Saccharomyces cerevisiae S288C: one gene and its partners. Changing the gene in region 2 together with the main gene of any one other region gives a genetic interaction. Each region holds a gene or a part of one and is shown on either strand. Other genes may lie near its edges.

Region 1 (7,509 bases), on a different chromosome or scaffold from region 2:
TAGAGAAAGAAAATTAAAAGCAAGAAAGCTGTTTAAAGTAGGTCTACTTGGGGGTGAATCCAACTCATTCAATAAGAAAGTGGAGCAACCGCTAGTGGATACGCAGGACGTGTTATCGGAGAGGGAGAATTCTCTTGATAACAAAAACGCATCCTCTATTTATATGACCTCACCAGCAGCGATCTCAGGCACCGTACCATCAATTTTCTAAGTGGTGTATATATATGTTCGAAGGTATTGTTGTAATATTTTCATAGTTGTATTCTTATTCCACCGGCCCCAGCTAAGCATTAATATAAGGATTCGTAAAACAAAATTATCGTTCACATACTAGAGAAAATATAACTATAAAACAAATTGATACCAATGTATATATTATGTTGTAAACTCCATAAAGATAGGCCGATCCTACTCGCCATTATTAATAAATTATAACCAAAAAAAATAAAGAACGCAATTTGTATGGGGTCAAGGAAGTCAAAACCATAAGCAACACATAACTAAGGACCCACCAGGGTGAAATCAACCATCAAAATAACACCATTGCTTCCATTTTCAATGCTCTCGACGGCATGAAATTTCTCGTCTCTGGAGGAAGCTACATAATATACTTCTCCTTCTTTTTTGAGTAAAATATCACCACCAGTTTCCGAATCGCTTTTCTTGCTTTCTGTGAAGTCAATACTCTGCAGGAGCGTACATCCTGGACTCACCTTCTTGTAGGAATTTTTATCATCATTGTACACTACAATATGAGATCTCACAAATTTGGAGATATTCTCTTGTATTGCCGTATCAAGTTCCTTCTCGGTGGCACCATCACTTTCAAGCTTATCAATATTATTCGGAAATTGCCACGGTTTTAAAGTAAGCTGAGAGACAGCCCTGTTCGTTGGTGCAATAATAATCAAATCTTCGTTGGGGTCACTTACTTTGTTATATGTTTCAACATCATTTCGCACATAGCTTGCAAATATTTGGACCTCGTTCACTAATGACAACTTTGATTCTAAGGATAAAGGAGACAATTCAGCCAAAAACTCTTGCTGCTTTCTTTGCTGTGTCCCTAAAATATCATCTAAATTCACTGCGGGTCTTGAAAAGTCACGCATTCCCTTATATCCTAATGGATAAGAATTTACTTGAGAATTATGTAGCCGGGGCGGTATTTCCTCTGGTGCTAACCGCTTGTGCAGCTTGCCATTTGAATCTTTGAAAGTAATTAAGTTGACGACGTTCTTACCTCTTACGAAACTAGGCTCCATTGCCCATATCAAAGAAAAATAAAGCAGCACACTAACAGGTAGATTGAATATCATGGTCGTTTTGTAAGTTTTTATATTATAAGGAGAAGTTATGAAGCAAAAGGGGATGACCGTCTAGTTGTTCTTGAAGATTAGTTAGCCCGATGACCGGATTTATTAACAAAAAAAACTGCTTAATCATTATTAACGGTGATATAAAATATTGACTGAACGAATGCTGAGTAGGCGAGGCAGGCACCTAGTCTCTAAACCCTTCATATTGATCGCTAATAGTTGCTAAAAAAGTGCGCAAGCCCGGAATCGAACCGGGGGCCCAACGATGGCAACGTTGGATTTTACCACTAAACCACTTGCGCTCACAATTGTTGGATTTGTTTTATCATCGACATACCATACCTCAATATGACAATAAATCATGCTAAATGTTCATAAATCACATATGAAACAATTCTTGCACTTCAGCTTCCTCTAACTTCGATGATAGCTTCTCATAACTTATGTCATCATCTTAACACCGTATATGATAATATATTGATAATATAACTTGTTGGAATAAAAATCAACTATCATCTACTAACTAGTATTTACGTTACTAGTATATTATCATATACGGTGTTAGAAGATGACGCAAATGATGAGAAATAGTCATCTAAATTAGTGGAAGCTGAAACGCAAGGATTGATAATGTAATAGGATCAATGAATATTAACATATAAAACGATGATAATAATATTTATAGAATTGTGTAGAATTGCAGATTCCCTTTTATGGATTCCTAAATCCTTGAGGAGAACTTCTAGTATATTCTGTATACCTAATATTATAGCCTTTATCAACAATGGAATCCCAACAATTATCTCAACATTCACCCATTTCTCATGGTAGCGCCTGTGCTTCGGTTACTTCTAAGGAAGTCCACACAAATCAAGATCCGTTAGACGTTTCAGCTTCCAAAACAGAAGAATGTGAGAAGGCTTCCACTAAGGCTAACTCTCAACAGACAACAACACCTGCTTCATCAGCTGTTCCAGAGAACCCCCATCATGCCTCTCCTCAACCTGCTTCAGTACCACCTCCACAGAATGGGCCGTACCCACAGCAGTGCATGATGACCCAAAACCAAGCCAATCCATCTGGTTGGTCATTTTACGGACACCCATCTATGATTCCGTATACACCTTATCAAATGTCGCCTATGTACTTTCCACCTGGGCCACAATCACAGTTTCCGCAGTATCCATCATCAGTTGGAACGCCTCTGAGCACTCCATCACCTGAGTCAGGTAATACATTTACTGATTCATCCTCAGCGGACTCTGATATGACATCCACTAAAAAATATGTCAGACCACCACCAATGTTAACCTCACCTAATGACTTTCCAAATTGGGTTAAAACATACATCAAATTTTTACAAAACTCGAATCTCGGTGGTATTATTCCGACAGTAAACGGAAAACCCGTACGTCAGATCACTGATGATGAACTCACCTTCTTGTATAACACTTTTCAAATATTTGCTCCCTCTCAATTCCTACCTACCTGGGTCAAAGACATCCTATCCGTTGATTATACGGATATCATGAAAATTCTTTCCAAAAGTATTGAAAAAATGCAATCTGATACCCAAGAGGCAAACGACATTGTGACCCTGGCAAATTTGCAATATAATGGCAGTACACCTGCAGATGCATTTGAAACAAAAGTCACAAACATTATCGACAGACTGAACAATAATGGCATTCATATCAATAACAAGGTCGCATGCCAATTAATTATGAGAGGTCTATCTGGCGAATATAAATTTTTACGCTACACACGTCATCGACATCTAAATATGACAGTCGCTGAACTGTTCTTAGATATCCATGCTATTTATGAAGAACAACAGGGATCGAGAAACAGTAAACCTAATTACAGGAGAAATCCGAGTGATGAGAAGAATGATTCTCGCAGCTATACGAATACAACCAAACCCAAAGTTATAGCTCGGAATCCTCAAAAAACAAATAATTCGAAATCGAAAACAGCCAGGGCTCACAATGTATCCACATCTAATAACTCTCCCAGCACGGACAACGATTCCATCAGTAAATCAACTACTGAACCGATTCAATTGAACAATAAGCACGACCTTCATCTTAGGCCAGAAACTTACTGAATCTACAGTAAATCATACTAATCATTCTGATGATGAACTCCCTGGACACCTCCTTCTCGATTCAGGAGCATCACGAACCCTTATAAGATCTGCTCATCACATACACTCAGCATCATCTAATCCTGACATAAACGTAGTTGATGCTCAAAAAAGAAATATACCAATTAACGCTATTGGTGACCTACAATTTCACTTCCAGGACAACACCAAAACATCAATAAAGGTATTGCACACTCCTAACATAGCCTATGACTTACTCAGTTTGAATGAATTGGCTGCAGTAGATATCACAGCATGCTTTACCAAAAACGTCTTAGAACGGTCTGACGGCACTGTACTTGCACCTATCGTAAAATATGGAGACTTTTACTGGGTATCTAAAAAGTACTTGCTTCCATCAAATATCTCCGTACCCACCATCAATAATGTCCATACAAGTGAAAGTACACGCAAATATCCTTATCCTTTCATTCATCGAATGCTTGCGCATGCCAATGCACAGACAATTCGATACTCACTTAAAAATAACACCATCACGTATTTTAACGAATCAGATGTCGACTGGTCTAGTGCTATTGACTATCAATGTCCTGATTGTTTAATCGGCAAAAGCACCAAACACAGACATATCAAAGGTTCACGACTAAAATACCAAAATTCATACGAACCCTTTCAATACCTACATACTGACATATTTGGTCCAGTTCACAACCTACCAAATAGTGCACCATCCTATTTCATCTCATTTACTGATGAGACAACAAAATTCCGTTGGGTTTATCCATTACACGACCGTCGCGAGGACTCTATCCTCGATGTTTTTACTACGATACTAGCTTTTATTAAAAACCAGTTTCAGGCCAGTGTCTTGGTTATACAAATGGACCGTGGTTCTGAGTATACTAACAGAACTCTCCATAAATTCCTTGAAAAAAATGGTATAACTCCATGCTATACAACCACAGCGGATTCCCGAGCACATGGAGTCGCTGAACGGCTAAACCGTACCTTATTAGATGACTGCCGTACTCAACTGCAATGTAGTGGTTTACCGAACCATTTATGGTTCTCTGCAATCGAATTTTCTACTATTGTGAGAAATTCACTAGCTTCACCTAAAAGCAAAAAATCTGCAAGACAACATGCTGGCTTGGCAGGACTTGATATCAGTACTTTGTTACCTTTCGGTCAACCTGTTATCGTCAATGATCACAACCCTAACTCCAAAATACATCCTCGTGGCATCCCAGGCTACGCTCTACATCCGTCTCGAAACTCTTATGGATATATCATCTATCTTCCATCCTTAAAGAAGACAGTAGATACAACTAACTATGTTATTCTTCAGGGCAAGGAATCCAGATTAGATCAATTCAATTACGACGCACTCACTTTCGATGAAGACTTAAACCGTTTAACTGCTTCATATCATTCGTTCATTGCGTCAAATGAGATCCAAGAATCCAATGATCTTAACATAGAATCTGACCATGACTTCCAATCCGACATTGAACTACATCCTGAGCAACCGAGAAATGTCCTTTCAAAAGCTGTGAGTCCAACCGATTCCACACCTCCGTCAACTCATACTGAAGATTCGAAACGTGTTTCTAAAACCAATATTCGCGCACCCAGAGAAGTTGACCCCAACATATCTGAATCTAATATTCTTCCATCAAAGAAGAGATCTAGCACCCCCCAAATTTCCAATATCGAGAGTACCGGTTCGGGTGGTATGCATAAATTAAATGTTCCTTTACTTGCTCCCATGTCCCAATCTAACACACATGAGTCGTCGCACGCCAGTAAATCTAAAGATTTCAGACACTCAGACTCGTACAGTGAAAATGAGACTAATCATACAAACGTACCAATATCCAGTACGGGTGGTACCAACAACAAAACTGTTCCGCAGATAAGTGACCAAGAGACTGAGAAAAGGATTATACACCGTTCACCTTCAATCGATGCTTCTCCACCGGAAAATAATTCATCGCACAATATTGTTCCTATCAAAACGCCAACTACTGTTTCTGAACAGAATACCGAGGAATCTATCATCGCTGATCTCCCACTCCCTGATCTACCTCCAGAATCTCCTACCGAATTCCCTGACCCATTTAAAGAACTCCCACCGATAAATTCTCGTCAAACTAATTCCAGTTTGGGTGGTATTGGTGACTCTAATGCCTATACTACTATCAACAGTAAGAAAAGATCATTAGAAGATAATGAAACTGAAATTAAGGTATCACGAGACACATGGAATACTAAGAATATGCGTAGTTTAGAACCTCCGAGATCGAAGAAACGAATTCACCTGATTGCAGCTGTAAAAGCAGTAAAATCAATCAAACCAATACGGACAACCTTACGATACGATGAGGCAATCACCTATAATAAAGATATTAAAGAAAAAGAAAAATATATCGAGGCATACCACAAAGAAGTCAATCAACTGTTGAAGATGAAAACTTGGGACACTGACGAATATTATGACAGAAAAGAAATAGACCCTAAAAGAGTAATAAACTCAATGTTTATCTTCAACAAGAAACGTGACGGTACTCATAAAGCTAGATTTGTTGCAAGAGGTGATATTCAGCATCCTGACACTTACGACTCAGGCATGCAATCCAATACCGTACATCACTATGCATTAATGACATCCCTGTCACTTGCATTAGACAATAACTACTATATTACACAATTAGACATATCTTCGGCATATTTGTATGCAGACATCAAAGAAGAATTATACATAAGACCTCCACCACATTTAGGAATGAATGATAAGTTGATACGTTTGAAGAAATCACTTTATGGATTGAAACAAAGTGGAGCGAACTGGTACGAAACTATCAAATCATACCTGATACAACAATGTGGTATGGAAGAAGTTCGTGGATGGTCATGCGTATTTAAAAACAGTCAAGTGACAATTTGTTTATTCGTAGATGATATGGTATTGTTTAGCAAAAATCTAAATTCAAACAAAAGAATTATAGAGAAGCTTAAGATGCAATACGACACCAAGATTATAAATCTAGGCGAAAGTGATGAGGAAATTCAATATGACATACTTGGCTTAGAAATCAAATATCAAAGAGGTAAATACATGAAATTAGGTATGGAAAACTCATTAACTGAGAAAATACCCAAATTAAACGTACCTTTGAATCCAAAAGGAAGAAAACTTAGCGCTCCAGGTCAACCAGGTCTTTATATAGACCAGGATGAACTAGAAATAGATGAAGATGAATACAAAGAGAAGGTACATGAAATGCAAAAGTTGATTGGTCTAGCTTCATATGTTGGATATAAATTTAGATTTGACTTACTATACTACATCAACACACTTGCTCAACATATACTATTCCCCTCTAGGCAAGTTTTAGACATGACATATGAGTTAATACAATTCATGTGGGACACTAGAGATAAACAATTAATATGGCACAAACACAAAACCTCTTCCGATAAAAACATTTAAACTATTAACAAACAAATGGATTCATTAGATCTATTACATTATGGGTGGTATGTTGGAATAAAAATCAACTATCATCTACTAACTAGTATTTACGTTACTAGTATATTATCATATACGGTGTTAGAAGATGACGCAAATGATGAGAAATAGTCATCTAAATTAGTGGAAGCTGAAACGCAAGGATTGATAATGTAATAGGATCAATGAATATTAACATATAAAACGATGATAATAATATTTATAGAATTGTGTAGAATTGCAGATTCCCTTTTATGGATTCCTAAATCCTCGAGGAGAACTTCTAGTATATTCTGTATACCTAATATTATAGCCTTTATCAACAATGGAATCCCAACAATTATCTAATTACCCACATATATCTCATAACTATTAGTTGATAGACGTGTAGAGAATGTGGATTTTGATGTAATTGTTGGGATTCCATTGTGATTAAGGCTATAATATTAGGTATGTAGATATACTAGAAGTTCTCCTCGAGGATTTAGGAATCCATAAAAGGGAATCTGCAATTCTATACAATTCTATAAATATTATTATCATCATTTTATATGTTAATATTCATTGATCCT
Region 2 (8,060 bases):
CCATACACTACTTCATACACCAATTACAAATCTATTAGTGGTATACTTTTACTGTAGACAATGTGGATTTTGATGTAATTGTTGGGATTCCATTGTGATTAAGGCTATAATATTAGGTATATAGATATACTAGAAGTTCTCCTCAAGGATTTAGGAATCCATGAAAGGGAATCTGCAATTCTACACAATTCTATAAATATTATTATCATCATTTTATATGTTAATATTCATTGATCCTATTACATTATCAATCCTTGCGTTTCAGCTTCCACTAATTTAGATGACTATTTCTCATCATTTGTGTCATCTTCTAACACCGTATATGATAATATACTAGTAACGTAAATACTAGTTAGTAGATGATAGTTGATTTTTATTCCAACATTTACTGGTACAATAGGTGTATGATATTTTCCCAAAGTTTAAATTTATATAATATAAGTGGCTTGTGCATTAATGCTCTTGAACGAAACTGGATAACGAAAACTGCAAATACTTGTAGTTTTAAACAGACACTTTCTGGGATAGGTCTATCAGCGAAGCTTGGGAATGTTTCGCCAAATTACCTGTATCCTTTCATGAGCGTGAGCAGGTTTAGGTCATGGTCACATCTTATTATATAAATTCTTTCAGAAGATTGTCAATTGTCCATCTATCGCCATAGATTATCTGAGAGCGAAGTTCCATTATGTCTACTAGTAGAAAATAATTTGAAGTTGAAATATAATAGCATTACAAAATTTTTTCTTTATATAGTCCGGTCTTGAAGAAGGATAACAATATTAAGTGTATGAAGACACAAGAACTTTTTCTTGGAAATTTGGATTTTTATGGGAGGAAACCTACAGCGGCAATGTATAATTATGATTAGTTCATCCTTTGCTGCCATCTGTTCGCAATTATTCATGCAATTGTATGATTATTGTCAGGCATTTCAACTTCCGGTAGATTCGTTTGTAATAATAGGTGAATTTTGTGTTGACATTATCAAACCGTTAAGATAGTGTTAGTTGCCAATTAGCATTTGCCTCGATAGAATGTGACGTTAGTTGTGGTACTAGGAATAAAAGTTGATGGCCAAACATTTTTCCTGCACATTTCCTTCAGCGTTTTCAGAAAAGAGAATTTGAGTAAAAATATTTTTGATGTTTAGGTTACCAATATCTCATTAATATAAATTTGAAAACAATGAATTTTGGGTTATACTTGGAGTGCATTTTATTGTGGTTAAAGGCTACAATATTAGCTAAACAGAATGTACAAGTAGTTTTCCTGGAGAATAAAAGAATTCTAAAAGAGAATCGATAATTCTATACAATAATATAGTTATCTCTTCTTTCGTTTATGTACTGTCGTTCTTGTTTTATTACGTTATTAATCCTTGCAGTGCACTTTTCATGATGACTGGTGACTGTTTCTCAATTTTTACATCATTTTTTTTTGAAAACATGATGATATACTAATAATTTGGATACTAGCAATAAATGCTTCTTGATCCTCTATTCCAACAAAAAAGTAACAAGAGCTTACTGATCTTCGGTTTTTATTTTACCTTATCCCAAATATCAAATTGAAATATACCGATTGTTTTAATCCGTTTTGTTGTATATTATCGTAATAATATGCAGATAATATACATATATACGTATTACGCCGATTAGGCTGACACTTTAACAAAATTTTCTGTCCAATTATTGTCCGATATAGTGTAACGGCTATCACATCACGCTTTCACCGTGGAGACCGGGGTTCGACTCCCCGTATCGGAGTTTTCTTTTTGCTTCCTTCCGCCCTTCCAAGTTGTTGCATAATCTTATCTGTCAAAATATGAACGCTTGAAAACTATAGATTATAATTATCATTTATTTAGCCATAATGGAGGGAAGAATAATATGATTGCATATCAAAGGTAAAAAAAGTCGAGTAAATGACTTATAAACGTAAAAAATATATTGATAAAAGACATAAACGAGGCCATGAAGGTGGGAAAAAAAAAAATAACTGCATAATAATGTTAACTAAATGAAAATAAAATGAAAAATAAAATGAAAAATAAAATGAAAAAAACAAATCATAGGACAAAAAGTTTCCAAATGAAGGATAAGAGGCCTAAAAACCAATGTGCTTTCCAGGCAAAACCAATCTTAGCAACAGCTACACTTTGGTTTTGTATAACTTCTTTTTATTTTTCAATGCACGCGGCTTTAACAGTTCAAAGCTACACATCATACCCGTTGTAACGCTCATTACTGCCCCCCAATTATGAAATTCTCCACAATAATTTGGTGCTGAAAAGATTGTGACAAACTTTTTCCTGGCAAAGAATTCATAACCATCTTCTACGACCATATGTCCCCTAAGTATTAAATCGAATTTAAACTTAGCACAAAAATCAAGAACGTTCCTCTTAGAAAATGTGTATGAAACACCACGATCATTTTCTGACCAATCAGTTACTTGAGGGTCTGGGTCACTCCACAGTAAGTCTGTAACCAGCCCGCTTTCAGGAATATCCGTTGGTCTTGCGACTTTTTCGATTTGCTTCATGTCATGTAAATCGGGCGATATACCTCCATGAACGCAAAAGATCTTATCTTGAATAATTGCTGCTAATGGCAAAGTATTAAATACGTCAACGAACATTTTCCATACTTTCGAGCTCAATCGCCTTTTGCATTCATCATAGAAACCGTACATCTTTGTGACATTAGCAGATTCGTGATTACCCCTTAACATAAAAAAGTTGTCTTTGTACTTTATTTTGTAACATAATAACAATAGTATTGTTTCCAATGAGTTCTTACCACGGTCCACATAATCACCCAAGAACAGATAATTAGTATCAGATGGCACACCAGACAACTTCAAAATTCTCAATAAATCATTAAATTGTCCATGAACATCACCGACAACTTTGATAGGCGCTTGTAATCTCAAAAGAGTAGGTTGATTCAAAAAAATTTCTCTTGCATGATAGCAAATGAGTTGAATTTCCCAAGAATGGAATGGAAAGTTCTTTTTTTTGGACGTTTTTGTAATTTCTCTTGACTCACCCACTTGTAGTAATTTTTCGATCGCAACATCGATATCAAGACCTTCATTTGAAGAGGTATCATGAGAATACCGTCTCAAAAATATAGGCTTCTTGCTACTTTTAGGATTAGGTATCCCAGATGTTGGGGACGAAGGCGCACCAAAAGAACCTGCCTTAACCGAAGATGAAGGAGACTTAACTCTGGACGATAACCCTGAAGATTTTAAAAATGATGAGGTTGATGAGGAAGCAGACGTAGCGGATGAGTAGTAGGAGGAAAAAGAATATGAGGATGGAGAAGAATAATTTGATTCACGATAAGAGGGTGATGTCAGGATATTATTTGAGGTAGTGGCAGTGGTAGTAGAGGAAGTTCTTGCGGTATTGATCAGCTTCGGAGCAGTTGCTGATGAGGATAGGGCTTTAGCGACAGAAACATCGATATCTAGGTACAAGCTCTTCAAGTTTTCATCCTTAGTGTATATTTTCTGTTTATGGGCATTCTCACCAGGAATGAGCAAATTATCATTGCTAGCTCGTTTATTGTTGTTGTTTTTCCCGGCCGATGCTAAAGTGTTGTAATTGTTTATAGAATGTTTATTATTGAATTTCTTGATAGTAGGTAGAGACCTACTATCATCTGGGTCATTAGGTTCGTTACTGTTGAGATCATCTGAAGGTGTAGTTAATTGTTGCTGACTAGAGTTTGAATTAGTTGAGCAATTCGGTACTGCAAAGTTATTATTTGATCTGGACGGGCTTCTTCTCATAAATAGAATATAAGTGAAGGGAAAACAATATCTAACTTGAAAGGAAAATGGACTAAAGTAATAAAATAGGTTTTTTGTAAGGACAAGCTTGTAAATGAAACGTCAGAGACTCGGTAAAACAAGATTAATTTGAATGTAGTGATTCTGACCGATAGTATTTATAGTCCGTGAGGAATACTTACCAAAAAATTGCTAAAAGAATAGACACGTTTAAGGTATATTTACTAATGCCATTTTTTAAGAGATACGGAATCCAGCGAAATCGCTAAATTTGCGGTGGTTGCATTCAACGTTTTTCTTTCTTTTTGTTCGATAATTTATCATTTATTACGTTAACCGGGTTATACAAATACGCCTCGTTAGCTCGTATAGAAGTACATGTCCTTTTATAGTGCATAAACATAGTATGTTCCTTAAGTGTCCAAACATATTCGCTCTCTACGAACTTCGCGTTTTACCTCGAAAGCATTAGCTACTCTTTTAAACTGTGTGCTTCGTGTTGGTTGTTTTCACCTTTGTTGTGGCTGTGTATGCATGTAGCCCACATTTTCCATCCTGCGATTCACTGCCCTCGTAGTCGGCTGCAGAGAGTTAATGACGCGTTGGTGGTGCAAAGTCGTGCTGGAACCCATCGGGCCCCTCAGCAAGTTACGTGCATTCTGTGAAGCAGTGTGGCCAACGCTGTGGTTTGTACTCGTTGTCCTATTCTTGTTGATTGGATTAACATCCTTGTTAAATAAGTAACTTTCGCTTTTCCATATACCGGACAACACTGCCTGAATCTTTGCACTTGCAAGATGTGGATAAAGATCATCAAATTTTTTGTCATAGTTAGTAAAGAGCAAATCGTCCTCATCCTTATGATCTGTATCACTGCTAGAATGTGCGATTGACTGAGCATCGTTATGGCTTTTTTTCCTGATATTATTTGCATTTCCCGTTATTATAGGTTGTACTCTCAACAATGCTTCATCTAATGGGTTGTAAAATCTTTTTACATTAGAGTATTCATGGGATATTCTCTCAAACTCCCTTTTCGCATCAATGTTTCCTGCCATAAAGATAGAGTCACTACCGTCATTTTGTGAACTTAAGTCCATAATAGAATTCTCCCTCTGCAACCATAATTTTCTTTGTGTTCTTGATTCTGCATCAATCCCATCTGATTTAAGGAACTGGGCGAAGCTATTAAATTTGGCACCTGAGTTGGATTGTCTGTTTGCATCGCTACCGGAGTTCGTACTAGATGTAATATGTTCGTTGGACAATGGAGAGGCCGGGGCTGCAGAATTTTTGTTGAGATCGTTGGATCTCAGAAGTAGATTCTGATTACCTTTCTTGTGAAAAATATTATTCATTCTTGAACCATGGAAGCTTTCAGGAGCAGCTCTCCTCAAATTATTGGTTAAACTCGATATGGAGGTCGAAAAGTTGTGCTGTGGTACATTATTATCTTTACTACCGATGTTAGCAATGGTGGGGAAAGTAGACTGAGAGTTCGGTATATTTTGGCCAAGTTGAGATCTTCCACCATTTTTCTTGCTCTTGCGCAATTTGCCATCATCCAGTTCATTAAAAGTATCACCTGAAGCCATATGCTCACCCGAGTCATGAATTTCATTCCCAAGCGAATTTTGGATGGATGATGAATTTTCAAATCTACGTTCAACTCCAGTCGACTGGGAGAGAATCATATTAGGCGCATAATTTTCCAGTAAGCTATGCCCTTCAATATCCTTGGTACCAGCGGAAGAAATATCATCAGGCTTGATTAGATCTTCTTCTTCGTTTAATAATTTGTGTTGTTTAGAACTTTGTCTCCTAAGAGACATAAAGCTCGAGTCGCTTTTTCTTGATGAATTACTCCTAGGGGCATCAATGTGATCTTCCTGATCAAACTGTTCATCTGAATGACTTGGTTTTTGATTACTTTTATGTGCAGCTAAGGTATTACCAACATCAAGAATTTTTTTTTCTTTATCATATGGTGCTTCTGATATATTATCGCCCGCTTTAACCAATGAGGCCCTCAAATTTTGAGAATGGCTGGACAAGTCATCAATATCAGCTTCCTTCGTCACCTTTGATTGCCCCTCTTCATTGATTACACTTGTTGCATTCAGTTTTGTTTCAATTGAGCTTGGAGATGTTTCTCCATCTTTCTGATGTTCTATAGAATGGCTTGATTCTCCGAAATAGTTATTGGAAGATAAATGAGGTAATGGTAAGGATACAGCTCTATGATTTTCCTTTCCATCAGTACCTGATTTATCTTCTTCTTGTTCATCTATTGAATCCGGGGATTGTAATTCATTCTGATTTAATTGCTGCACATTCTTTTTTTCTTCAGGCATAACATGCTCGGCTATTACTTTATCATTATTCACCTTTCCATCTTCAATGTTGTCTTCCGAAAAACATTCCACCTCCTCGTCAGTAGTAGATTCACTCTTTTTAGATTCTTGCGCATCTCGAAGACTCAGAACAGATTGGGTACTTTTACTTCTTCGTGGTTTCAGGCCGAAACCAGCAGTTCCAGTATTAGAATGACTGCTGTTCTTTGGACTGAGCAGCGTATTATGCACCGGACTATGAAAGGATGCTGATCTTTTTCCTTGATTGGACTTTACTCTTGTTAAAGCTGTCATATTCAACCCACTAATCGTTCGCTTTCTGAAAAGTGCATCAGAACTCTTGCATTTCTGAGAAACGTTGTGCTTATTAAAATAATCATTATCCAGGGTGCCATCATGTGTTAAAACTCTACGCAAACCTTTGAAGCTTGCGTTACTCTTTGCTCTCGACCTAGTCGAAAACTGTCTAAATGGCTTTGACTGGTGTGATACTGTTGACGCATTAAGAGATGTTACATCAGTGTCTGACTTCAAAGTCCTTCCTCGATGAACCATAATTATAGTTACTCAGTAAGGATATATGATATATCCCAATATCTATGTTTACCTGACCCGTAAATCGATAGAATGTGCTAGTCCATTAGATGTTTGGATTCCTTAATCATCGTGCCAGCCAAATCGCTATACCATCCGCAACTAGCTATCCTTGCGGTTACCCGTACAAGAGTAAGCTCGGTTGATAAAAACAACGTTGAATTAGTCGTTTTTATATCCATATAGATGTATATATATGTATAGATGTGTTTGTTCGCCTCATTACAGTTATACTTTGGTTGAGAATAATATTGCAGTGTTTTGCGTTTATTGAATGGCATTAGTGTTATTTGAATATTTTTTCTCCCATAGTAGTAACTCTCTAGTCAGGTCGTCCATCATTGATAGACTTTCATTATAACCGTTGTAAATCGTATCAACTTTTTCTACGAAATGCTGGTTTTCCACGAATCGTACAAATTCCTCTCGATCAGACTGATCTTCACTCAATTCCCATTGAGTTCTAGAAATGAACTCCAAAATAGCGGATACCCTTCTTCTCATTTCGTTTAATGAGGTCCTTTGAGGGGGTAATCTGGGCTTTACTGGTTTGTCGGTACCTATATCAGCACTCCTTCTATTTTGGTTGGTGTCTGAACTTGTATTGCTTCGACGAGTTCTGTTGCCCTTTCTTGCTGGTTTGGAAACTCTTTTAGAACCCCTCGAACTAGCTTTCCTTGAATCATCCTCAGAAGAAGATATTGAGGTTAGGGGTAGGATGGGTTCATCAGTTTTCTCAGTGTCTTGCGCCGAACCCGTAGAAGATTCCTTTTCTTGACTAGCTTCTTTTTCCACATCATTTGTTTTTTCCATTGATTGCTCTTTCGATGGTCGTAGGCTTTCTTTCATATCATCATTTGTTACCGAGTCCGGTTTGCCTTCCGTTAGCATAACATCCGTTTGTAATCGAGTGGTGCCGTTGTGATTGTCGGTATCACCTTGGTATATATCAGCATCATTTTCATAACTTTCAGGATCTTCTTGATGTGATGTCCTCCTGCTTTCTTTCAAGGCTTTTTCAAGCATTCTTTGATATTGCTTTTCTTCTCTTGCCATGAAAGTTGCCCTTTTTCTATCCAGTAGCTTCTTATCACTATCTCCAGGATCCAGTGAATACTGATCGGTAGAAGCATCATCCATTGAATTCCTCCTCCTCCTTCTACTTGACCTCGTGTTGCCGTCCTTGGCTAATGCTACAGCCGAAGCTTCATCTTCTACTTCATCTTCTTCGTCGCCGATATCGTCGACGTTATCATCGGTATTGCTGGTATTTCTGGGACTTTTCTCTGCTTCATTGGCGGCATGAGA
Region 3 (7,105 bases), on a different chromosome or scaffold from region 2:
CAGTGAATTCTTCGTTTTGCTTGTGAACTGTTTTGAAGGCATTCATAAAAGCATCAGTAACTTCATCTTTATTTGGTTGCAAGCTATCCTGGAGGACTTTGCGGTGAGATTCCCAATCTTTACTCACCAAAAAAGTTTTGAAGACTTTTGATTGAGAAAGATCGGGATGCAAAGAGACCCTTCTTAGGAAATTTTGCAAACTATGACATCTCTTTTGTGTAAATCTTTGGCTAAACCTATCGCCTGCTATGTATTGAAAAACTTTCTTATCAGGTAATGGCGGGATGATGCAGGTGGGGAACCTGTTGAGTAAAATATCATGCAGGAGCAATAGGTCACTGTATCTTCTATGTACAACTATAATAGATTCTGGATCGCCACGATTATCATAAAATGACGTGTTGTTAGTCTTTGTTGATATCTGATAACTCACGTAGCCAGATGAAGAGCCTGGGTCACCAGTTCTTTTTTGTGGATCAGAAACAATGATTTCAAACCAATATGGTGGCTTCTCGGGGTTGCCTCTGGCTTTGTCCTTAGCTTTGCTTGTTAAATCGTTCTTGCCTTTGTCTGTCATATCCTCAACAAAAAGAGCAGTATTGTGGTATACCGTAAATAAAGTTTAATAACGGCTTAGCCTACTACCAGAATTTAATCTGTTAATCTTGCGTCGTCACTTCGTTCACGGAAATCCTTGGTGTAATACCTCTCTCAATTCCTTGATACTAAACTATACATCGCTCTTGGGCATTGCCACCCCTTTCAAGCTGGAGGGCGAATACCCGGCAGGACCCTGTGAGCGCGGCATAGATTTTTGAACTGTTATTCTGAACTATAAACAATTAAAGGAGAAAAAATACAATATCTCAGTATTGCATATAGATTTTATAGGGTGTTTGATCGTACGCAAAGGGTGGCTTGCTTATAACAATACCAGGTTATTCTTGTGAATTAAAAAAACAAAAAATTGATTTCGCCCAGGATCGAACTGGGGACGTTCTGCGTGTTAAGCAGATGCCATAACCGACTAGACCACGAAACCTATTAATTTATGAAAGCTTGGGCTTTCAGCAGAAATTAATCGATTGTAAAGTTACCGTATCAAACTTATAATAATAAAGATGTATAAAACGCGAATGAAATAATAGTAACGGGAGAGACAAGATTGAGTATATAATTCAATAATTGCTTGCTTAAATGAAGCAGTTAAACCTGTAAATACCTGAGCAATCGGTTTAGACATGGGACTCCTCGCTTCACCAGATCTTATGTATAATATAGGATAAGTAACGATGTGCGAACAAGCCGACAATAAGTCTGACAACTATTACTCTCCTAACGATAGAATTGCCAAGACATCCGGTATTATTTAAGCCCTTAATACAACAAAAATTAGTAACGTAGTTTATGTCAACTAATTGTCCAAGATTGAAATTTGTTTAGAATAAATCAAGTGTCAGCTTGAGAAACTGACGAATATTAGTAACAAAAGGCACTACTAAATGGATTATATTGGAAGTTCATTCGCACACATCTATTGCCTATTATTACGTGTATATTACCTTATGTGGTACAAAAAGATGATAGATGTGATGAGATGCTGTCTCTGAAATTGAACCAAGTTGAGACGTAAAATTAATAATGTAAAACGAAAAACGAAAAAAATGAATAACATGTATATTGCCGATTCCGCTTAGTAGGTTCCGATAGGCTCGAGAGATCTAGTATGTTCCGTATATCTAATAATAGGACCTTCGTCAACAATGGAAACCCAACAACTGTCAGAAAATTGGCATAATCATCAGTTATTCTAGTAATATTTACTAGTCAGTGGGTGTTAATTGATTTTTATTCCAACGAAAGGGTGGGTATGTTTGAAAGTTTAATTGTTAATTAATACTTCAAAAATGCTTACCCATGGCAGTTACAGAATAGTTAGGTGTAATAAGAAGCAGAAATGCAAATATAAGAATGTCGTTAAAACACTATATATATGTATATATATACAACGATCTGAGATTAAACAATGTACAGGAGTGGCAAAAACAAAATCGGCAACATTTTCCTAAGTCAGAGCTTGGTATATAATGGTGAGCCAAATAAGAAATCCGACGCCTCCAATGCTGGCCGAGACTAAGCATAGACTAGTTGTCACTGTTATACATAAATCAACCACACCTTGTGCCAGACCAGCCTCTATCGTTGTTGCAGCGACTACTCTACTGATCCGTGAGAGCACCTCCTTCTTTTTCTTTTGTTCCTCTGTCAATTCCCCGCCCTTCTTGGCAACCAGATCATACTTATTCAAGAGGCTTTCAAATTTCTTTGTTGAAACGGTCTTGAATTTTTTTATGTACTTGAACGGAGATATATTTACTGCTCGGTTTAGGCCCTTAGTTAGCTTCCCTGTTTCTGTTTCAAATGTGTTATTGCCAACAGTTTCCATTTGGATTTCCCTTGTTAGCATATTCACCTTGTTATTCAATATACCATTTAAACCCTTTAGAATAAAAGAGTGGTTACCATACATATCTTTAACTTCCTCTATTTGTCTCTCGATTCCAGATATTTTTTCATCAACACAGACAGAACTCTGCGAGTAAGCAGCCAAGACCCTTAATGAGTTGACCAGTTTGGTTCCGGTACTTTCGAATTCAACCACTGCTCTACTACTTGCTAATACAACGGTAAGCAAACACAACTGGATCAGAAAAATCCTTTCTATCATTTGTACTTTCATCTTATAGTTTTGTGACTATGGCTGTGATTATGATTTTTATTGGAAAAGCAAAAAAAGTACTGTAGAGACAATTAGAGATATATGACCCATAAAAGAGAAGTTAAATGATCGAAGAGTATACAACTCTATAATGTAATCTGTATTAAAAAAGATTTTCAGAAAGGTTTAATATTGATCTTCATTTGGGAGGAAAACAAGAGATTTACTTCGAGCAATTTTGGAATATAAAAATGATTTACTTTATGTTCGATAGAAAACCCTAGAGTGATTTTGTGTCTCTTCTAAACGCACCCTGTGGTAAAAAATAAAGGAAAAAAATGATTTCAAATATGACTAGGTTGTGGCGCCAATGATCAAGTTTTTTTTTTTATGAATTCTTTTTTGTGGTCACAACGACAAATTATTATCACCGATTTAGTGTCATTTTTTTTCATTTCTCTTAAGACTCGTGTACCCTTTTCCAAAGGCAAAGGCCCTGCGAAAAACAAAGTAGAAGGGAAAAAAATTACTAAGATACAGTGTAAGCTATGCTATGTATTCAATCCCCCTTTTTGTGGTTTTCTCATTCAAGCAGCTAATTATAGGGCTACGCATTGCCGCAGAAAAGGCACCTATGGTGAATGTTGTTGCAATCGGCTTAAATAATTGTGAAAATATGGAAGATATGTCTTGCAGAGATTAGTTTGAAAAAGTACTACAAAAATAATTTTTATACTCAATTATACTACTATCCAATACATAAATATTTATTATCTTGGGATAAAAATAAAAGAATTATTTTTTTTGCTTTTTTAAAGACTATAAAAGTGTAAACTGTCAGTAAAAAAAATAGACACCACAAAACAATAAGTGAAGATAAAAGAGCCTAGTGAAGTAAACTAATTCAAATGAGGTTCCAGCTTTTCATATATTTTTATTTCACCATTGTTGTGATTGCAGGAACTAACACAATACAACAGTTCAGCGATGCGGGCGATAGGTTAATCACATCATTGAGAAATCTGGACAACAATGGAACATACGAAACATTGACAGCAGAGAAGGTGCCTATTATCGAGGGACAAATTCAAAACATTAGTGCAAAATATGAGCAGCATACTTTTATTTTGAAGGGCTTAGAAGCGGTGCTAAATTATAAAGTGAAAAGTTTGGATAATAATGAGAGAGAGTCGCTCGAAATAGAATATGAAAAGGTGGAAAAGGCACTAGATGCGGCTTTGAATGTTTCACCATTTGAATATATCAAAAAGTTTAAAGAAGTCTCCAGGGGCAAGGTAGTTAATGCTTTAGAAAACCTCAGTAGAGAACAGAATCGAATTACTATAAATGGTGGTAGAGAAGACGAAAAAGAAAAAGAAGCGAGGGAAAAAAAGAAACGACTAGACAGAATAAAGAGAATCCTAACTGTAAGTCTGTTAGAATTGGGTCTAGCTCAAGGAGTGGCCGATTTATGTGCAGTAGCACCTTTTGCGTGTCTTCTTGGGGTGACAGTTGGAAGCATCGGTTTCATATTTTGGTTGGCACTAATATATAATGCTATTCAATAACTTGAACAGTTGTACTAAGGCAGTTTAAGTCCATTATACTGTGCGCATGCACCGGCATAGCTGCCGCCGCCTATTCATCCATGACTGTTTATATTTCTGTAGCTAGCTCTCTTTTCATGAAGCGCCATATATATTATTTTTTGAAAGCTGAAAGATAGAAACTATAAATAAAATAAAGCCGAGAGAGAGAAAGACCCAAATAACCTTTAATATTATAGCCTTTAATAACAATGGAATTACAACAATTATCTAATTATTCACCTGCATCCCAAAAATATTAGTCGTAGCCAAGATGAACCAATCGATGTGTGTTATATGTACCTCTGCTTTGCAGTATAAGAAATTTACATTTATTTCTGACTAATAACACCTTGGTGCCCCAACGGTAAACAACTTGTATCAGTTCTCATAAGTGCGGCCATTTTATGCAATACAGGCTGCATTATTTCACCAGCCGTGAAAATCCGAAAATTGTAGTAATTGAAAGCGTAATTAGGTTTTACTATAATAAAGTAGTAAAACCTTCAACAAATAGTAGCTCGCGTGGCGTAATGGCAACGCGTCTGACTTCTAATCAGAAGATTATGGGTTCGACCCCCATCGTGAGTGCTTTGTTTCTTCCGTGATAGTTTAATGGTCAGAATGGGCGCTTGTCGCGTGCCAGATCGGGGTTCAATTCCCCGTCGCGGAGATTTTTTTGGCTACTCCTGTAGTTATTCTTCATTAATGCTTTGTTAACCTTCCTTAGCATTAAATGCAATAGCAGCGGCTCTTCAAAGAATATGAAGTTTATTGGCGTATAATCAAGTGATAGCATTCACAGCACCGTGTTGTTAAGGGGCAATTTACGAAGAGTCTCAGTTTATGATAGTATATACACGTTAAGGTCCCAGCAAGAGCGTAGTATTTCACGTAAATATTCTCTTTTGGGTAAAGCACTGGTATACATATATAATAATAATTAAACTGAAACGGCTCACGAGTCTAGTGAGCCCATTCTAACTACGGTCTTCATCAAAGTCCTTCTCGGGCCGGGTAGTATGATTCCGTTTTCGTCTTTTGATGAAAATAAATTTTCTGCTGGAAAATAACAAGGTTAGTTTGTAAGTGTGATGTAGTATTTAGTAAATGCGCCCATTGCCTTTCAACTAGTTTACCAATACCTTTCTTAGCCACTTAGTTTACACTATACTTAATAAATTATTTCCTCAGGGTACGCCAATTAACAACACGCCTCCTAAGCACGAAATATATATAACTTATATCACTTGGCATCTAACCTAGTTGAAAAGATTTGTTCCGCAGATAAGAAAAAATGAAATGGTCTGCAATTCCTTTCCAAACATTGTATCGCTCTATTGAGAGTGGTGAGTTCGATTTTGATCTGTTCAAAGAGGTACTTCCTGACTTACAAAATTTGAACTTAAACACAGACAAACTAAAAAACAATGCTAGCCGATCACAATTAGAAAAAGGTGAAATTGAACTATCCGATGGCTCTACTTTTAAGGTCAATCAGGAGTTTATTTTCGAAGCTATTTCTTTGTCCGATGAATTAAACTTGGATGAAATTGTTGCATGTGAACTTATACTTTCTGGTGATACCACCGCTAATAATGGCAAAGTACAATACTTTTTGAGAAGGCAATATATCCTGCAAATTGTTTCTTTTATAGTCAACTGTTTCCACGAAGATACTGAGTTATACCAAGAGCTTATAAAGAATGGAGCTTTAGTTTCTAATATCCTCTCAGCCTTTAAGTTCATTCATACTCAATTATCTGAGATTAAACAACAAATCAATAAGGCTCAGATACTAGAAAACTATAATGCTTTATTCCAACAAAATATCAAGTTTAGGAGAGACTTCTTACTGAGAGAATATGATATTCTGAGTCAAATTTTATATGGTTTAGTGGATAAAGGAGCCATCATGAAAAATAAGGATTTTATACTGTCCTTACTTCATCATGTGTCAGAATTGGATTCCAATGATTTTTTTATAATATATTATACTCCTGCATTTTTCCACCTTTTCGCATCTTTAAGAGTTTTGCCCGATGCAGATGTCAAATTATTACATTCTCAGTTTATGAAAGACTTAAAGGACGACTCCATATATACCAAACCGGTCAAAGTAGCTCTTATTTTCATTTTTTTTGCTTACTTCATTGGGTGGTGTAAAGAAGACCCTAAAAGAAGGGCTGACACGATGGATTTCAAAACTGATGTTGATGAGCCAATGACTTCTGCCGTCGAACTAGGCGCTATTGAACAAATTTTAATATTTGCCGCAGATACATCTATCGTGGAACAAGACAAGAGTATGGAACTTTTCTACGATATAAGGTCCCTGTTAGAAAGGCATATTCCAAGGCTAATTCCTAAACAGTTACTTGATGATGAAAAAATTTTCAGTCAAACGACGAATTCTACCTACAACCCAGCATCCGCAACTGATAATATGAGCGGACGCGGCTTATGGAATCCGTCTTATCCTGGGATGATGTCAACCACGGGTACCGCTCGACTAAATAGTATGCCCAATAACGTCAACGAATATTCTTACACTACTATAGTTTTATCCGATCAGACCCAAGAATTTTTCCTCTCATCCTTTGATGATGTGCTTCAAACTATTATTACAGATTGTGCCTTTTTGCTTACAAAGATTAAGGATGCTGAGGAAGACTCTTTGTTGTCCGGTGAAGACTTAACTTTGGATGACATCTCACTAAAGGCTGACTTAGAAAGATTTTTTCTGTCAATATATTTTTTCTATGCATCAAGGCCCGAATATTCATGTACTTTCTGGTCT
Region 4 (8,553 bases), on a different chromosome or scaffold from region 2:
CAATCCATCTGGTTGGTCATTTTACGGACACCCATCTATGATTCCGTATACACCTTATCAAATGTCGCCTATGTACTTTCCACCTGGGCCACAATCACAGTTTCCGCAGTATCCATCATCAGTTGGAACGCCTCTGAGCACTCCATCACCTGAGTCAGGTAATACATTTACTGATTCATCCTCAGCGGACTCTGATATGACATCCACTAAAAAATATGTCAGACCACCACCAATGTTAACCTCACCTAATGATTTTCCAAATTGGGTTAAAACATACATCAAATTTTTACAAAACTCGAATCTCGGTGGTATTATTCCGACAGTAAACGGAAAACCCGTACGTCAGATCACTGATGATGAACTCACCTTCTTGTATAACACTTTTCAAATATTTGCTCCCTCTCAATTCCTACCTACCTGGGTCAAAGACATCCTATCCGTTGATTATACGGATATCATGAAAATTCTTTCCAAAAGTATTGAAAAAATGCAATCTGATACCCAAGAGGCAAACGACATTGTGACCCTGGCAAATTTGCAATATAATGGCAGTACACCTGCAGATGCATTTGAAACAAAAGTCACAAACATTATCGACAGACTGAACAATAATGGCATTCATATCAATAACAAGGTCGCATGCCAATTAATTATGAGAGGTCTATCTGGCGAATATAAATTTTTACGCTACACACGTCATCGACATCTAAATATGACAGTCGCTGAACTGTTCTTAGATATCCATGCTATTTATGAAGAACAACAGGGATCGAGAAACAGCAAACCTAATTACAGGAGAAATCCGAGTGATGAGAAGAATGATTCTCGCAGCTATACGAATACAACCAAACCCAAAGTTATAGCTCGGAATCCTCAAAAAACAAATAATTCGAAATCGAAAACAGCCAGGGCTCACAATGTATCCACATCTAATAACTCTCCCAGCACGGACAACGATTCCATCAGTAAATCAACTACTGAACCGATTCAATTGAACAATAAGCACGACCTTCATCTTAGGCCAGAAACTTACTGAATCTACAGTAAATCATACTAATCATTCTGATGATGAACTCCCTGGACACCTCCTTCTCGATTCAGGAGCATCACGAACCCTTATAAGATCTGCTCATCACATACACTCAGCATCATCTAATCCTGACATAAACGTAGTTGATGCTCAAAAAAGAAATATACCAATTAACGCTATTGGTGACCTACAATTTCACTTCCAGGACAACACCAAAACATCAATAAAGGTATTGCACACTCCTAACATAGCCTATGACTTACTCAGTTTGAATGAATTGGCTGCAGTAGATATCACAGCATGCTTTACCAAAAACGTCTTAGAACGGTCTGACGGCACTGTACTTGCACCTATCGTAAAATATGGAGACTTTTACTGGGTATCTAAAAAGTACTTGCTTCCATCAAATATCTCCGTACCCACCATCAATAATGTCCATACAAGTGAAAGTACACGCAAATATCCTTATCCTTTCATTCATCGAATGCTTGCGCATGCCAATGCACAGACAATTCGATACTCACTTAAAAATAACACCATCACGTATTTTAACGAATCAGATGTCGACTGGTCTAGTGCTATTGACTATCAATGTCCTGATTGTTTAATCGGCAAAAGCACCAAACACAGACATATCAAAGGTTCACGACTAAAATACCAAAATTCATACGAACCCTTTCAATACCTACATACTGACATATTTGGTCCAGTTCACAACCTACCAAAAAGTGCACCATCCTATTTCATCTCATTTACTGATGAGACAACAAAATTCCGTTGGGTTTATCCATTACACGACCGTCGCGAGGACTCTATCCTCGATGTTTTTACTACGATACTAGCTTTTATTAAAAACCAGTTTCAGGCCAGTGTCTTGGTTATACAAATGGACCGTGGTTCTGAGTATACTAACAGAACTCTCCATAAATTCCTTGAAAAAAATGGTATAACTCCATGCTATACAACCACAGCGGATTCCCGAGCACATGGAGTCGCTGAACGGCTCAACCGTACCTTATTAGATGACTGCCGTACTCAACTGCAATGTAGTGGTTTACCGAACCATTTATGGTTCTCTGCAATCGAATTTTCTACTATTGTGAGAAATTCACTAGCTTCACCTAAAAGCAAAAAATCTGCAAGACAACATGCTGGCTTGGCAGGACTTGATATCAGTACTTTGTTACCTTTCGGTCAACCTGTTATCGTCAATGATCACAACCCTAACTCCAAAATACATCCTCGTGGCATCCCAGGCTACGCTCTACATCCGTCTCGAAACTCTTATGGATATATCATCTATCTTCCATCCTTAAAGAAGACAGTAGATACAACTAACTATGTTATTCTTCAGGGCAAGGAATCCAGATTAGATCAATTCAATTACGACGCACTCACTTTCGATGAAGACTTAAACCGTTTAACTGCTTCATATCAATCGTTCATTGCGTCAAATGAGATCCAACAATCCGATGATCTTAACATAGAATCTGACCATGACTTCCAATCTGACATCGAACTACATCCTGAGCAACCGAGAAATGTCCTTTCAAAAGCTGTGAGTCCAACCGATTCCACACCTCCGTCAACTCATACTGAAGATTCGAAACGTGTTTCCAAAACCAATATTCGCGCACCCAGAGAAGTTGACCCCAACATATCTGAATCTAATATTCTTCCATCTAAGAAGAGATCTAGCACCCCCCAAATTTCCGATATCGAGAGTACCGGTTCGGGTGGTATGCATAGATTAGATGTTCCTTTACTTGCTCCCATGTCCCAATCTAACACACATGAGTCGTCGCACGCCAGTAAATCTAAAGATTTCAGACACTCAGACTCGTACAGTGACAATGAGACTAATCATACAAACGTACCAATATCCAGTACGGGTGGTACCAATAATAAAACTGTTCCGCAGACAAGCGAACAGGAGACTGAGAAAAGGATCATACACCGTTCACCTTCGATCGATACTTCCTCATCAGAAAGTAATTCACTACACCACGTCGTTCCTATCAAAACGTCAGATACCTGTCCTAAGGAGAATACAGAGGAATCTATTATCGCTGATCTTCCACTCCCCGATCTGCCTCCAGAACCTCCTACCGAATTATCAGACTCCTTTAAAGAACTCCCACCGATAAATTCTCATCAAACTAATTCCAGTTTGGGTGGTATTGGTGACTCTAATGCCTATACTACTATCAACAGTAAGAAAAGATCATTAGAAGATAATGAAACTGAAATTAAGGTATCACGAGACACATGGAATACTAAGAATATGCGTAGTTTAGAACCTCCGAGATCGAAGAAACGAATTCACCTGATTGCAGCTGTAAAAGCAGTAAAATCAATCAAACCAATACGAACTACCTTACGATACGATGAGGCAATCACCTATAATAAAGATATTAAAGAAAAAGAAAAATATATCCAGGCATACCACAAAGAAGTCAATCAACTGTTGAAGATGAAAACTTGGGACACTGACAGATATTATGACAGAAAAGAAATAGACCCCAAAAGAGTAATAAATTCAATGTTTATCTTTAACAGGAAACGTGGCGGTACTCATAAAGCTAGATTTGTTGCAAGAGGTGATATTCAACATCCTGACACTTACGACCCAGGCATGCAATCCAATACCGTACATCACTATGCATTAATGACATCCCTGTCACTTGCATCAGACAATAACTACTATATTACACAATTAGACATATCTTCGGCATATTTGTATGCAGACATCAAAGAAGAACTATACATAAGACCTCCACCACATTTAGGAATGAATGATAAGTTAATACGTTTGAAGAAATCACTTTATGGATTGAAACAAAGTGGAGCGAACTGGTACGAAACTATCAAATCATACCTGATAAAACAGTGTGGTATGGAAGAAGTTCGTGGATGGTCATGCGTATTTAAGAATAGTCAAGTAACAATTTGCTTATTCGTTGATGATATGATATTGTTCAGCAAAGACTTAAATGCAAATAAGAAAATCATAACAACACTCAAGAAACAATACGATACAAAGATAATAAATCTGGGTGAAAGTGATAACGAAATTCAGTACGACATACTTGGCTTAGAAATCAAATATCAAAGAGGTAAATACATGAAATTAGGTATGGAAAACTCATTAACTGAAAAAATACCCAAACTAAACGTACCTTTGAACCCAAAAGGAAGGAAACTTAGCGCTCCAGGTCAACCAGGTCTATATATAGACCAGCAAGAACTAGAGCTAGAAGAAGATGATTACAAAATGAAGGTACATGAAATGCAAAAGCTGATAGGTCTAGCATCATATGTTGGATATAAATTTAGATTTGACCTATTATACTACATCAACACACTTGCACAACATATACTATTTCCGTCCAAGCAAGTGTTAGATATGACATATGAATTGATACAGTTCATATGGAATACGAGAGATAAGCAATTAATATGGCACAAAAGCAAACCTGTTAAGCCAACAAATAAATTAGTTGTTATAAGCGATGCATCGTATGGTAACCAACCGTATTATAAATCACAAATTGGCAACATATATTTACTTAATGGAAAAGTAATTGGAGGAAAGTCCACCAAGGCTTCATTAACATGTACTTCAACTACGGAAGCAGAAATACACGCGATAAGTGAATCTGTCCCATTATTAAATAACCTCAGTCACCTTGTGCAAGAACTTAACAAGAAACCAATTACTAAAGGATTACTAACCGACAGTAAATCTACAATCAGTATAATTATATCCAATAATGAAGAGAAATTTAGAAACAGATTTTTTGGTACTAAAGCAATGAGACTAAGAGATGAAGTATCAGGAAATCATCTGCACGTATGCTATATCGAAACCAAAAAGAATATTGCAGACGTAATGACCAAACCTCTTCCGATAAAAACATTCAAACTATTAACAAACAAATGGATTCATTAGATCTATTACATTATGGGTGGTATGTTGGAATAAAAATCCACTATCGTCTATCAACTAATAGTTATATTATCAATATATTATCATATACGGTGTTAAGATGATGACATAAGTTATGAGAAGCTGTCATCGATGTTAGAGGAAGCTGAAACGCAAGGATTGATAATGTAATAGGATCAATGAATATAAACATATAAAACGGAATGAGGAATAATCGTAATATTAGTATGTAGAAATATAGATTCCATTTTGAGGATTCCTATATCCTCGAGGAGAACTTCTAGTATATTCTGTATACCTAATATTATAGCCTTTATCAACAATGGAATCCCAACAATTATCTAATTACCCACATATATCTCAGAAAGTAACATGCGTGCTTTCTATGAGGTTGAAGAATAACACTCATCTTAGCCACAGTGGAGGGTTTACCTATGAAAACAGTACTAAGTAGTCAAATAATTTCCTCTCCTTTGTACGCGTTTTAGGGCACATGGCGCAGTTGGTAGCGCGCTTCCCTTGCAAGGAAGAGGTCATCGGTTCGATTCCGGTTGCGTCCATTTATTTTTTACTTTTATTCTCCTTTATTTTTAACAATTTCTAGAATAACTCGACTCGATTCCAAGAAAACCCCTTAAGCAGAGCTATATATCCTTATATTTATTCGTAACACTGCAATGTGAACATATAGTACAGCAGAAAAGATTACCTTCTGCATTATCTATAAGTTTTGCGCATAACAAACCTTTCACTTGTCACCTAATTTGGGTTTAAGTAGTGCTCGCTATATTGCCCTGGCACAATGCTTTTTTGCTTTTACTGTAGTCTTTGCTATTTAAATAATCTCACTGTCGTCCATATCCCTCATATACATGGCCCTTTTTTGGCGCCCATACAAGAAAAAGTAATCACTTTTATAAACATATAAAGTTATTTCACATCCCATCATCTCGGTTTGAGGAACAGACGCCTTTTCATAGTTTTGGATGACTATACATCAGTTATCTCCAGAATCCCAATGGAAGATTGTTTCTAGTTCCTTTATTTACGGTCCGGTAGCTGCTGTAAGGGAATTATTAGATAATAGCATCGATTCGGGTGCTAAAAAAGTATTCATCGATGTAGATTCCACTACGGGAGGATGTGAATATATATCAGTCAAGGACGATGGATCAGGTGTGGATATTATCGACAGACCTTCTATGTGCTTGGAATACACCACATCAAAGATGAGTAGTCTCGGAGATATTTCGATTCTGACTACTCTTGGATTCAGAGGTGAAGCATTGTTTCTTTTGTCAAACTTGTGTAACCAGAAAGGCTCAATGCAGGTTGAAACAAAAACTGCAGATGATGTCATTGGAGAAAAATGGTTAGTTGATAGTAAGGGTGGTATTACCAATGGAAAAAGGTACAAGGTATCTTGTCCCGTGGGGACTACAGTAATATTAAGGAAACTTCTGGGAGGGTTACGAGCAAGGTATCTCGAAATTTCTTCGAGGCCAAGAAAAACATTCGATGAACTAATCTATTTAATAAACCATTATTCTCTAATTCATAGAAATATTCGGTTTTATTTTTCGTTGGTGTCATTACAAAAAAATGGTGCCATAGAGCGTAAACAAATGCAAGAAACGTTAGACCCTAAGATTTCTAGAGCTAGAAGTTTGTCCCTACTAGCTAGACTAAAAAAGCCTGTGCCGCTGAACTTTATTGTAGAAGAAAACTTTGTTATCGACGAAAAAATAAATTTAGATTTGATCTTACCGAGGATGGTGCCAGAATCTGACGTTATTAATATAAAGAGACGATTTAAATTTTTATCTGTTAATGAGAGAGCGCTATCTTTGAACTTGGAGACGGGGAAGACTATTTCTAAGTTACTATCGTCAATCTATAGAGATTTCTCTTTACTAGATCCTATGGTTTGGTTTATTAATTTAAATTGCGATACAAAGCTTCTTGACGTAAATATCGAACCAGAGAAAAATGACGTGATGATCAAAAGTTTTGAAGTGATATTTAAGAAGATAGAGAATAAGTTAAAGTTGTTATTGGAGGAGAGAATTGGCATCGAAACAAATATGCTGGGAGATAAACATGTTCAGCCTTCTATCAACGAAAAAACTTCTCCCGCACTGGTGATACCTACACCCGACGCAGAGAATGAAATATCAAAGGGCTGTGGTGCTGTTAGTGGTAAAGACAAGACTGACATCCCACAAAAAAACTCAGATTTGATAGTACCAACTTTTTACGATGAAGCAAACTTAGAGAATACGACCATTGTCGCTGCTACTCCTTCACCTACAAAATTTAGCGAGGATAAAGCTCTTGACGAACAAACTCAGCTGACCATTTCAAGTTATAGAAGCTCGAGTTCCGGGTCTATGGCTTCCGAGGACAGTACTAATTGGCGACATAATTTCCAACAAGAACTAAGCGAAAATAGTGAAGTAGCAGGAGCTGGATCCTCAACATTACCCTCGTCATTAACTTATAACTATATAGAAACTATTCCAGAGAACGAGGATTTAGAACTTTCTAAGGACGCTTCTATTTCTAATCCTTTTATGATCACAAAAATAAGAAACGTCAACAAGAAACTGAGCGAAAACTTACTTGAGGCCAAACGTACTAGCTGTGGAGATGCCAATAAAAGGGGAATGCCCAACGAAAGACAGCTTTCAAATACAGAAAAAAAGGAACTAATAAAGCTTCAGCAAACCTACGGTAAAAGAAACAATACCGTGGACATGACCATTCCACGAAATTCGAAAAAAAAAGTAACTGATAATTATATAAAGAAAGCATCCTGCATGCACAAAACAAGGCCGAAACTCATGCATTTTTCCGAGTATACCAACAACTACGTCTATACCCTGAAGAATGAAAAAATTGTTAAGCATGACAGCGATAACTTTGCCAAAGAAACTCTGTGGTTACGATCGAGGGACGATGCCACAAGCCCTTCTTCCAGTCTTTTGCAAGCCTTGCGAGCGCATGTGAAGAAACCGGGACACATTGAAGCCACGACAAATGAATGGTGCCTCTTCACGCCAGACAGCCCCTGATGATCGGGTGCACTATCACCACTCAGCACAATAGATTACTTCATAATAGACCATTGTTTGTAACTCATGGTAACCGCACCCTGTTGCCCGCCCTGCCTCTCTTCCAGTTTCCGCACCTTGAAATTTCCGTTTTGGGTCAACTTAAAAATGCTCTAATATTGCATTGTTACGACATCCTGTTGTCATGCGACTAAAGGTATTTATACTGTATATATCTCATTCATCTGATTCTGTGAGGTTGCATAATTGAATATTTATTTCAAAGGAGCTAGAAGACAAAGATCACTCCACATAAATATACGGGGTTCCTTTATATATTAGTTCATTTTTTTTTTCAGTTGTCATACCCAAACTATTATTTCCTTCTGAACTCCTTTAAATATATCGTTCTTCCAAGCTAATTGATAACAGTAGTAGCATCACAAGAGAAAAAAAATGCGATCTTATATGCAGATTCTTCAAAAATTTGCCAAATTTATTGGGCCAGGGATATTAGTCAG

Evidence for each region.
Region 1: mutations in PPQ1 (region 2) and YDR262W together harm fitness more than expected from each alone (negative genetic interaction), as found in Saccharomyces cerevisiae (one large-scale study listed by BioGRID).
Region 3: mutations in PPQ1 (region 2) and LOH1 together harm fitness more than expected from each alone (negative genetic interaction), as found in Saccharomyces cerevisiae (one large-scale study listed by BioGRID).
Region 4: mutations in PPQ1 (region 2) and MLH2 together harm fitness more than expected from each alone (negative genetic interaction), as found in Saccharomyces cerevisiae (one large-scale study listed by BioGRID).

What each region holds. Positions count from the first base shown.
Region 1 is NC_001136.10:986,944-994,452, reverse strand, and holds YDR262W (uncharacterized protein), read right to left. Parts: upstream 1,320-7,509; coding exon 501-1,319; downstream 1-500. Other genes in the region: exodeoxyribonuclease DIN7, read left to right, coding at 1-211; YDR261C-C (gag protein), read left to right, coding at 2,104-3,426.
Region 2 is NC_001148.4:203,901-211,960, reverse strand, and holds PPQ1 (protein-serine/threonine phosphatase), read right to left. Parts: upstream 3,805-8,060; coding exon 2,155-3,804; downstream 1-2,154. Other genes in the region: TCO89 (Tco89p), read right to left, coding at 4,314-6,713; CTI6 (Cti6p), read right to left, coding at 7,020-8,060. UniProt on the Saccharomyces cerevisiae protein: Phosphatase involved in the regulation of protein synthesis. Affects translational accuracy.
Region 3 is NC_001142.9:372,297-379,401, reverse strand, and holds LOH1 (Loh1p), read left to right. Parts: upstream 1-3,627; coding exon 3,628-4,287; downstream 4,288-7,105. Other genes in the region: SNX4 (Snx4p), read right to left, coding at 1-577; IRC18 (Irc18p), read right to left, coding at 2,066-2,740; NUP192 (Nup192p), read left to right, coding at 5,603-7,105. UniProt on the Saccharomyces cerevisiae protein: Involved in spore wall assembly. May be involved in maintaining genome integrity.
Region 4 is NC_001144.5:211,869-220,421, reverse strand, and holds MLH2 (mismatch repair protein MLH2), read left to right. Parts: upstream 1-5,965; coding exon 5,966-8,053; downstream 8,054-8,553. Other genes in the region: YLR035C-A (gag-pol fusion protein), read left to right, coding at 1,515-4,982; putative divalent metal ion transporter SMF3, read left to right, coding at 8,489-8,553.